Callithrix jacchus: one gene and its partner. The protein of the gene in region 1 purifies or fractionates together with the protein of each later gene. This does not show direct contact. Links are inferred from orthologs where the notes say so. Each region holds a gene or a part of one and is shown on either strand. Other genes may lie near its edges.

Evidence for each region.
Region 2: the proteins of RNF13 (region 1) and AP3D1 purify together in Homo sapiens (affinity purification with mass spectrometry; 3 studies listed by BioGRID and IntAct, counting the BioPlex papers as one, with this or other methods). This does not show direct contact. The link is inferred for Callithrix jacchus from reciprocal best matches to the Homo sapiens genes RNF13 and AP3D1.

What each region holds. Positions count from the first base shown.
Region 1 is NC_133518.1:35,453,817-35,458,345, reverse strand, and holds the start of RNF13 (E3 ubiquitin-protein ligase RNF13), read left to right. Parts: upstream 1-1,659; 5' UTR 1,660-1,784; intron 1,785-4,529. UniProt on the Homo sapiens protein: E3 ubiquitin-protein ligase that regulates cell proliferation. Involved in apoptosis regulation. Mediates ER stress-induced activation of JNK signaling pathway and apoptosis by promoting ERN1 activation and splicing of XBP1 mRNA.
Region 2 is NC_133523.1:1,989,207-1,993,008, reverse strand, and holds part of AP3D1 (AP-3 complex subunit delta-1), read left to right. Parts: intron 1-259; coding exon 260-418; intron 419-762; coding exon 763-810; intron 811-1,167; coding exon 1,168-1,357; intron 1,358-1,811; coding exon 1,812-1,900; intron 1,901-2,053; coding exon 2,054-2,139; intron 2,140-2,667; coding exon 2,668-2,789; intron 2,790-3,064; coding exon 3,065-3,144; intron 3,145-3,802. UniProt on the Homo sapiens protein: Part of the AP-3 complex, an adaptor-related complex which is not clathrin-associated. The complex is associated with the Golgi region as well as more peripheral structures.

The DNA of each region.
Region 1 (4,529 bases):
GGTTTCACCATGTTGGCCAGGCTGGTCTTTAACTTCTAACCTCAAGTGATCTGCCTGCCTTGGCCTCTCAAAGTGCTGGGATTACAGTCATGAGCCACTGGCCTAAAAAAAATTTTTTTTTTGTCATGCAAGAAATCTGATTTAATATACCAATTTGAGATAATTTAATGAAAAAATGCTAATAGAGATATTATAAATGTTTATATTAATTACACTAGTCTTCTTAGTAATTTTCTCAATGCTGACTTTTATTTATGACTTCCTTAAAGGCAGAATTGTGATTTAAGTTTTGAATGTCTTCACAACCAACGAAAAGTTGAAACTACATAGAACAGTCATAGGATACACAGAAGAGGAAAGTAGCTTTGATAGCTTTTTAAATTTTTTTAAAATTTGATTTTAAATTGTTTATATTTGAATTTTATTTAAGTGGGTAATATTTACAAGGTTCAAAATTCAAAAGGCACTAACGGATACACAATAAGGAAAGTCTATCCTTTAATACTGTGTCCCACCTACTCAGGGTTCTCCAAGCAATCAAAGTTACAAAGTTACATCCAATGGTATTCTACTAATCTATGTGATAGCCTCCTTGCTACCATTTTTAAAAGATGATTTTGAAGGAGTTGAAGCCTGTAAAGGTCTTATTAAAAGTGCCTTATTATTTGAAGAAGAAGTAGGGCCTGATTCTATGTTTCCTGATATTTTAGTTCAGAACTCTATAATCTTTGTACTAAGTCACACTGCTTTTGTAAGGTGGCGAGTTGGCAGTGATTAATCAGTGTGGATGGTACAGTCCGGTAATTTTAAGTTTCCTCTGGTTTAAGATTGGCACAACCAGAAAGGAAGGCTTCTCAGAAGGGCGGCAGGGGAGATTTTTGGTTCATCAAAAGGAGGCAAGGGTTTTAAAAGGCTGACCTCGGCCTGAATCACATGGTTTGACTTTTGCTAAGCCCCGGGAATGGCGCGCGTCGGGCTCAGAGTGCTGATGTCAGCGCGGATCCGAGCCAGGTCTCAGGGGACTGGCGTTCAGACCTCCGGCTGCTCTCACTTCTAACAATCTGACGCCTACTTTAGGGTGTGGCCACGGCCCCACCCACTCTGATCTCAGACTTGGACACCGTGCGGGAGGCGATGAGGCCTTGCCCTCGTCTCTTTAGTAGGTCGGGTGAGTGTAGTGTGCAGGGAAGAGACTCGTTGACGCCAGAGCCAGGCCCGCCCGCGGGCATCCCCGCAGCGGGATCTTGGGCTACTCCTTCCCAACAGCCAGAGCGGATCAGGCCGACGGGCCCTGCCCGCTCAGTCCCGCGCCCTCCAGACCCTACTGCCTCCGTTTCTAGGGGCAAACGGTCAGCGGGAGGCGCCCACAGTCAATCCACTCTGCCAGCCTGCCCCTTCCTCTGCCAAAAGCAGCTTCTTCAGCTGCGCTCCAGTTCCCCAGACGCCCGCCCCACCCTACCCTTCCCTTCCAGGGAAGACCGATCACGCGGCCAAGAACGAGACTCGCAAACTGGGCATTTTTTTCCGAGCGGGACTGGAGCAAGCAGAGACTCCGCGTGAGAGTGGGAAGGAGCCTTAACAGGCAACTATGTGACCCAATGGTTTTTCTCTGCCTTTGGATGTGGACAAATGAGGCGCGTGAGGCGGGACTTCCGCTTCGCCTCGGTGTTGTCGTCCCCGTTCGTACTCCTGGCTGTGCGGTCGGTGCGGATATTCAGTCATGAAGTCAGGGTAGGGACTTCTCCCGCAGCGAGACTGTTGTGTTGCGGGGGCCAGACTTCCAGGTAAGAGACTGTCCGGCTTGGCGGCAGCCGGGCAGCGGGTTATTGGGCGGCTCGGAGAACACACCCCGCTTGCTGGCCCTCGAGTTCGGAGTCGGCCCCGCTGCTGAGGTCTTTACTGCTCCTCTAGAGCTGGGCGAGGAGTGAATTAGGCTTTTTGCAAAAGGAATAAAATAGCCTTGTCCTCGAGGGCCGAGTCTCCCTTGCCCTCTCATCTCGCGAGTTTGTGTTTGTCCAAAGTTGTTGAGTTACCGGTTTTGCTTCTCTCATTCCCTTCTTGAGGCTGCAAGAGCCTTGGAAGTATGTTTGGAGGGCTTTTCTTGGTCCAGCACCTGCCGCAACGTCCTCGGGCAAATTGCTTGACTTGAAGGGGCTGTTCTGTTTTTGAATATAAGGAGGGCAGTCTCTTCCTCTCTTTTACCCCCACCCGCTTTTTTTCCCCTGGAAGCTCAGTTTGCAGGTTTAGGACGTGACCCCTGCTAAGGCCAGATACTACGGTAAGTCAGCAGCTCTGCCGGTACGCTTGACTTGATCTGCACTTATTAAAGAACTTTGTCCCAGAGAGCGAGAGAGAGAGCGCAGACATCGAAGCCAAACAGTAGTATCCCGGAAGCACTCACGCAACTTTGGTGGCAGCCACTCAGTGTTCTCTGCCAGTGTCTGGTAAATTCCTGTATTTTGTCCTAATCTGACAATAGTAAATTTCTAAAACTGTCGTTTCATCATCAGTTTCAGCACCGTGGGCAGCTGCTCAGGTCCTCTTACTGCACAAACCTGTTCAGCTATTGCTGTCCGTGATGCAGCAGGAACAGTGAAAACGAATGCATTCCTTCCAACAATGATGTGTTGTTCTCCGAGGAGAACATCTGCAGTTTTTGATACAATATAAATAAGTAAGGTGGCTTTGCCTCCAAAGAGTTCTTGTAGAGAAACAGATCGATTCAAGATTTAAGGTAGGGCTTTCAAGAGTTATAATCTATTTAAGCACGATTTTTGAATGGGTGGATATTAGCTCCATCTCAAAGTAACAAAACTGGACAGTGGTAGAAGTTAAAAAGAAGTTTAAACAGGAGGTAAGAAGTGTTGTGCAGTGCTGTAGTTTTGGGCCTGTAAGAATTCATTAATAGATTTTAGAATCAATTTAGTACATTGGCATAAGCATTAAAAAGAAAGAAAAAAATACCAGAGGTCATTGTATGAAGTAAAAGTAAGTATTATGGCAAGAAGCTTTTGTAGCAGTTTTGTCTGACAACATAAAAATATGTTGTGTGTTAAGAGGAAGATGGAAATGTAAAGTATATTATGGATATGGCAAAAACAAATGTTTAAAAATACTAGATTCCAAATTTGGGAGTCAGGCTGAGTTCAGCTCTGCCACTTACTAATTCTGTGACATTTTCCATAAATAAGAAGTTGTTATGAGTTGTTACGAGGATTAAATGAAATTAAAATTTGTCTATTACGTAAGTTTTTTTGTTTTGTTTTTTTTGGAAACTATTGGAGAGAAGCACAGTTATTTTTCTCTGTGTGGGGAATGACAGCTGTTTTATTAGTATATTTTTTACCTCTGCCTTTGAAGCTAGGCAAGTCTTTATGTGTAATGCAAATCACAGAGAAAATCTTGGTTTGAGAGGTATAATACTGAAGGGTATAGGATAAGTTCTCATCTATTCTTGTATAAAGCTGATTTTCTCAATAATTTTGGAGGGGCCTAAATTGTTGCCAGCATTCAGCTTTCTTCCCTTGATATTTTTCTGCATTCCAGAATAACGTAGATTTATCAGAACTTTTACAGGCTCTAACTTTAGCTAAGTGAGGGTAAGACTAAAGGTATGACTGCAGGGATAGATTTATGTCTTTGAGTTAAGTTGGATAGAATGGCATTTTATGTCTTATAGTTCTTACCATAAGAGATGTATGAAATGAAATGGCTTGGCCAACTATCATGAAATGTTATGCTTACTTTGTGTGGGTGTGACCTACAAATGATTGGCATTTAAATAACAATATTTTAAAATCTGAGAATTAATGATGTTTAGGAGGAGGCAAATGAGTTTCAATCAAAACAGTGTTTTGCACCATTTGTCATGTTACTACCATATGGTATTGCAGATGATAGTTTCACATGACATAAAAAGGGGAAGAAAGTTGGTAAGCATTGTTACTTTTCTTAGAAGAGGAAACAAAATTAGAAGTTAGTTCCTTTTAATAAAGAGTACTGGTGAGTCATTGTTCAAAAATTTACGTGTTCTGTAGCTATTTATTGAGCATATATAGAAGCAGAATATTAAAATTCTATGAATCTTTTACATTACACAAAAGTTGATTTGGGAACAACACAGTATATGATTGGTATTGTCAAAATTTGTATATCATAGTTCATCAGTAACAACTAAATAACGTAGCTAACATTGATTGGTTACTATGAGCCAAATACAATTCTAAGTACCTTATAATATCTCTTGTGGTTCTTACAGTCATTGATGTGGTAGACAGTTGTCTACTTTTTATCTTTATTTTTTTTGAGCCTCTTTTGCCCAGGCTGGAGTGCAGTGGTGTGGTTATGGCTCACTGCACCCTCGACCTCCTGTGCTCAAGGGATCCTCCTATCTCAGCCGGGCAAGTAGCTGGGACTATAGTCATATACCCTTGTGCCTAGCTAATTAAAAAAATTTTTTTTGTAGAGATAAGGTTTTGTTATGTTGCTCAGTCTGGCCTAAAACTCCAGGGTTCAAGTGATCCACCTGC
Region 2 (3,802 bases), on another chromosome or scaffold:
TGGCTCCCTGGTCAGCCGGGACTGTTCCCTGAGCTGCTTTGGCCAGCCTGCTGCCAATTAGGGACAGCATGGCCTCTGTTAAGCTGGGTCTGGCCTGGGCTGGGCCCCGGTAGGCCTGAGGCGGGGCTGGTCCTGCCACCCCACCCAGGCATGTGGGACCCTCAGCCTGAGCAGCCCGGCCTGTGGCTCCCACCTCGTGTTGTGAGCAGGACGCACGAGAGCGGCTTGGGAACTGACACGGCCCCTCCTCCTGCTCCAGAAATCCCCCAAGCCTAGGAAGAAGAAGCACAAGAAGGAGAAGGAGGAGCGCACCAAGGGCAAGAAGTCCAAGAAGCAGCCTCCGGGCAGTGAGGAGGCGGCAGGGGAGGCGGCGCGGGAGCCGGTGCAGAACGGCGCGCCAGAGGAGGAGCCGCTCCCGGTGAGGGGTACTTCAGCGCCCCCGCCCCGCGCCAGGGCTCCTGGCGGGCTGCGGGCTGCTCCGCACTCCTGCTGCCTCCGTGCGGGAGAGAAGGGAGCAGATTCCAGAAGAAGCTGAGCTGGTTGGGCCTGGCTTGGTCCCGCGGCCCCACATTCAGCACCCCCGTGGTGGGCTGTGTGGTCCTGGGAGCCAGGGATCCCTCACAGGCCCCTCTGAAGCCCCCTCGCCCCAAGCGTTCTTGGAGTCGTGGCGTTTGACCTGGGGTATTGGGCAGCACTGGAGTTTTTGTTGCGACAGAGCCCAGGGCCTGGCCTTTGAGGCTGATGTGACTTTTTTCTCTCCAGCCTGAGTCCAGCTACTCCCTCCTTGCTGAAAATTCCTACATTAAAATGGTGAGTGGCGGCTGCTCCGTTCCCTGGGGCAGGGCTGGCCAGCGCATGCTCTTTGGCGTGGGACTGTGCAGAACCTGGCAAGGTCCCCAAGTCCTGCATGCTGGTGTGCCCAGGGAGCGAGATCCCTGCGGGGGCATTGCTTGGCAGCCCCTCTGGCTCAGGTGAGGTGGAAGACATGCCCTGAGGCCTGGGCTGGTTTGAGGGTCCCTGCCATGTGTCACAGAGCAGCCACGGGAGGCACTCCGGCTGAGGCTGGGGGGCCCTGGTCTGTGCTTCCATGGCCGTTGAGAGGCAGGAGCCTGTGCCTGTTCCCTGCGGGTGGCCCACCTGCCCTGCTGACACTGGCTGTGCCCGCAGACCTGTGACGTTCGGGGCAGCCTGCAGGAGGACAGCCAGGTCACTGTGGCCATCGTGCTGGAGAACCGGAGCAACAGTGTCCTCAAGGGCATGGAGCTCAGCGTGCTGGACTCACTCAATGCCAGGATGGCCCGGCCGCAGGGCTCCTCCGTCCACGATGGCGTCCCTGTGCCTTTCCAGCTGCCCCCAGGTGAGCCTCGCCCTGCTCACGGCCTCCCCTGGGGATTGTGGGAGCTTGGTGGGATCTGCTGTTCTTGTTGCTACCCCCCTACGTCCCCTAGGTCCCCAGGCTGCACCCTAGTGCCTCCTGAATGTCGGGGTCTTGCCACAGCTCTGAGAAGTGCGGTGGCCTTGGATCGACATGGCCAGAGCCCTGAGGGCTGGACTGTGGGCTGGGGCCTTCCTGGGTTCTGTGGCTCCAGTGGCTGCATCTTCCCTTTGTGAAATGGGCATGGGACCAGGTTCAGGCCAAACTGGGGACACCAGTACTCTTGTTTCTGCTTCTGTCCCATGGTGCTCCCTTGGGGTCTGAGCCCAGCTTCCTGATCAGCCACAGAGGACTCAGGACTGAGGACACACACAGGGGCCCCACCCATGCTGAGCCCCGGCTGCATCTCAGGTCCCCTCCCTCTCACCCCTGCCAGGCGTCTCCAACGAAGCCCAGTTCGTGTTCACTATCCAGAGCGTCGTCACGGCGCAGAAGCTCAAGGGGACCCTGTCCTTCATCGCCAAGGTGTGCAGGCTCCACTCGGCGTCGGGGAGGCTCTGCAGGCTGGGGCTTCTGCCCCATCCCAGTGGGTGTCCCAGTGTCCCGATGGGAAGTGGGCCACCTGCCTGAGCTGGGCCCGACTCCCCACTCAGCTGCGCTGCTTTTGCTCCACGGCAGAATGACGAGGGTGCGACCCAGGAGAAGCTGGACTTCAGGTTGCACTTCAGCTGCAGCTCGTACTTGGTCACCACGCCCTGCTACAGGTGGGCCCTGCCACCGCCCACCGCCACCGCCCCGCTCTGCCTCCGCCTCCCCTCCGCCTGTGCCCCAGGGCCTGAGGCTTCTGGGCAGGACTTTAGAGATGGTTTTCGAGGTGGTCAGTGCAGGTCAGGCTGCCTGGCATCTGTGCCAGCTGGGGCAGAGTAATTGAAACCACAGGCAGGGAGGCGTCACCCAGAGAGGCCTTGGCTCCTGGCAGTCCCAGAGCCTGGAGGGCTGAGACCAAGGAGCTGGCAAGGTGGGCTCCTCCTGAGGCTTCTCCTGGGCTTGGCATGCGGCACTGTCTGCCCCCTGCATTCTCGCAGGCCTGCGTCCCGTCTCTTCCTAAAGGACATCCGTCCATATTGGAAGAGGCCCACCCCATGGCTTCAGGCACCTCTGTGACCTCTTTAAAGACGAGTCATTATCAGTTTCTGGGGGTCAGAGCTTCCACACGTGAAGAAAAGGCACATCTTCAAGGATCCCTGAGGATCCCGGCCCCACCGGAGTCAGCCTCCCTGTCCCTCCCACAGCGACGCCTTTGCCAAGTTGTTGGAGTCTGGGGACCTGAGCATGAGCTCAGTCAAAGTCGACGGCATTCAGCTGTCCTTCCAGAACCTTCTGGCGAAGATCTGTTTTCACCACCACTTTTCCGGTAAGGAGAGCAAGGGGCTGATGGATTGCACGGGGTTCGCGTCCGTGGTAGCCATCCCTTCCTGTTGGAGCTGGGCCTGCGGCCTCATCCTTTGGGATTCCGGGTGGCTAGTGGCCCCATGGCCTGGGAGCTGGTTCGGGGGCTGCTGTTCACGCCCCAGGCCTCCCAGGGGCCACATTGTACTCCTGCAGCCCCCGGGAAGGCGGCCCCTGCAGTGGGGGCGCGGCTGCACCTGTGCGGTGCGTGGGGAGCCTGAGCCACCCGCTCTGTTGCAGTTGTGGAGAGAGTGGACTCCTGCGCCTCCATGTACAGCCGCTCCATCCAGGGCCACCACGTCTGCCTCCTGGTGAAAAAGGTGAGCCCCAGGCCGCGGCGCTCGCCCTGGCTCCTGCCGCCTCTCCTGGGCCTTCATCCTCAGGGCTGAGCCTTGGGGCTTCGAGGGCTCAAGGACGGGGATGCCCGCACTGCAGCTGTGAGCCCCTCACCTGCGCCAGCCCACTCAGCAGCGCAAGCTCGCTCAGCAAGTCGGGGCTTCCTCCTCCTGCTGTGCTGCTCACCCCAGGCTGACGCACGGCTCCGGGGCCCCACGCGCTCAAGACTCCCACCCCACCCCCTGCACGAGGCAGCCCGGGCCCTGGGTCGGGCGCTCCACCTCTCCTGCGCTCCTAGAGTGGTGCTCCGCGCCTCCTCCTGCCTGAGTGCTGCGGGTGGGTGTCTTGCAGCGTGTGGATGTTTTGCTGAGGGCGTCGCGTCTGTGTTTATGGAGTTTGGTGTAGTTTTCGGTTTCATCGTCAAGTGATCTCACAAAGACTGTAGAGAGTTCACGAGGAAGACCATCGGGCCCGCAGAGTTCTTTTTCTGTAGGCTTCTAGCTACAAACGGGGTTTCTTTGTTGTTTTGTTTTATGATTTGGAGTTTTGCTCTTGTCGCCCAGGCTGGAGTGCAGTGGCGCGATCTCAACTCACTGCCACCTCTGCCTCCCAGATTCAAGCGATTCTCCTGCCTCAGCCTCC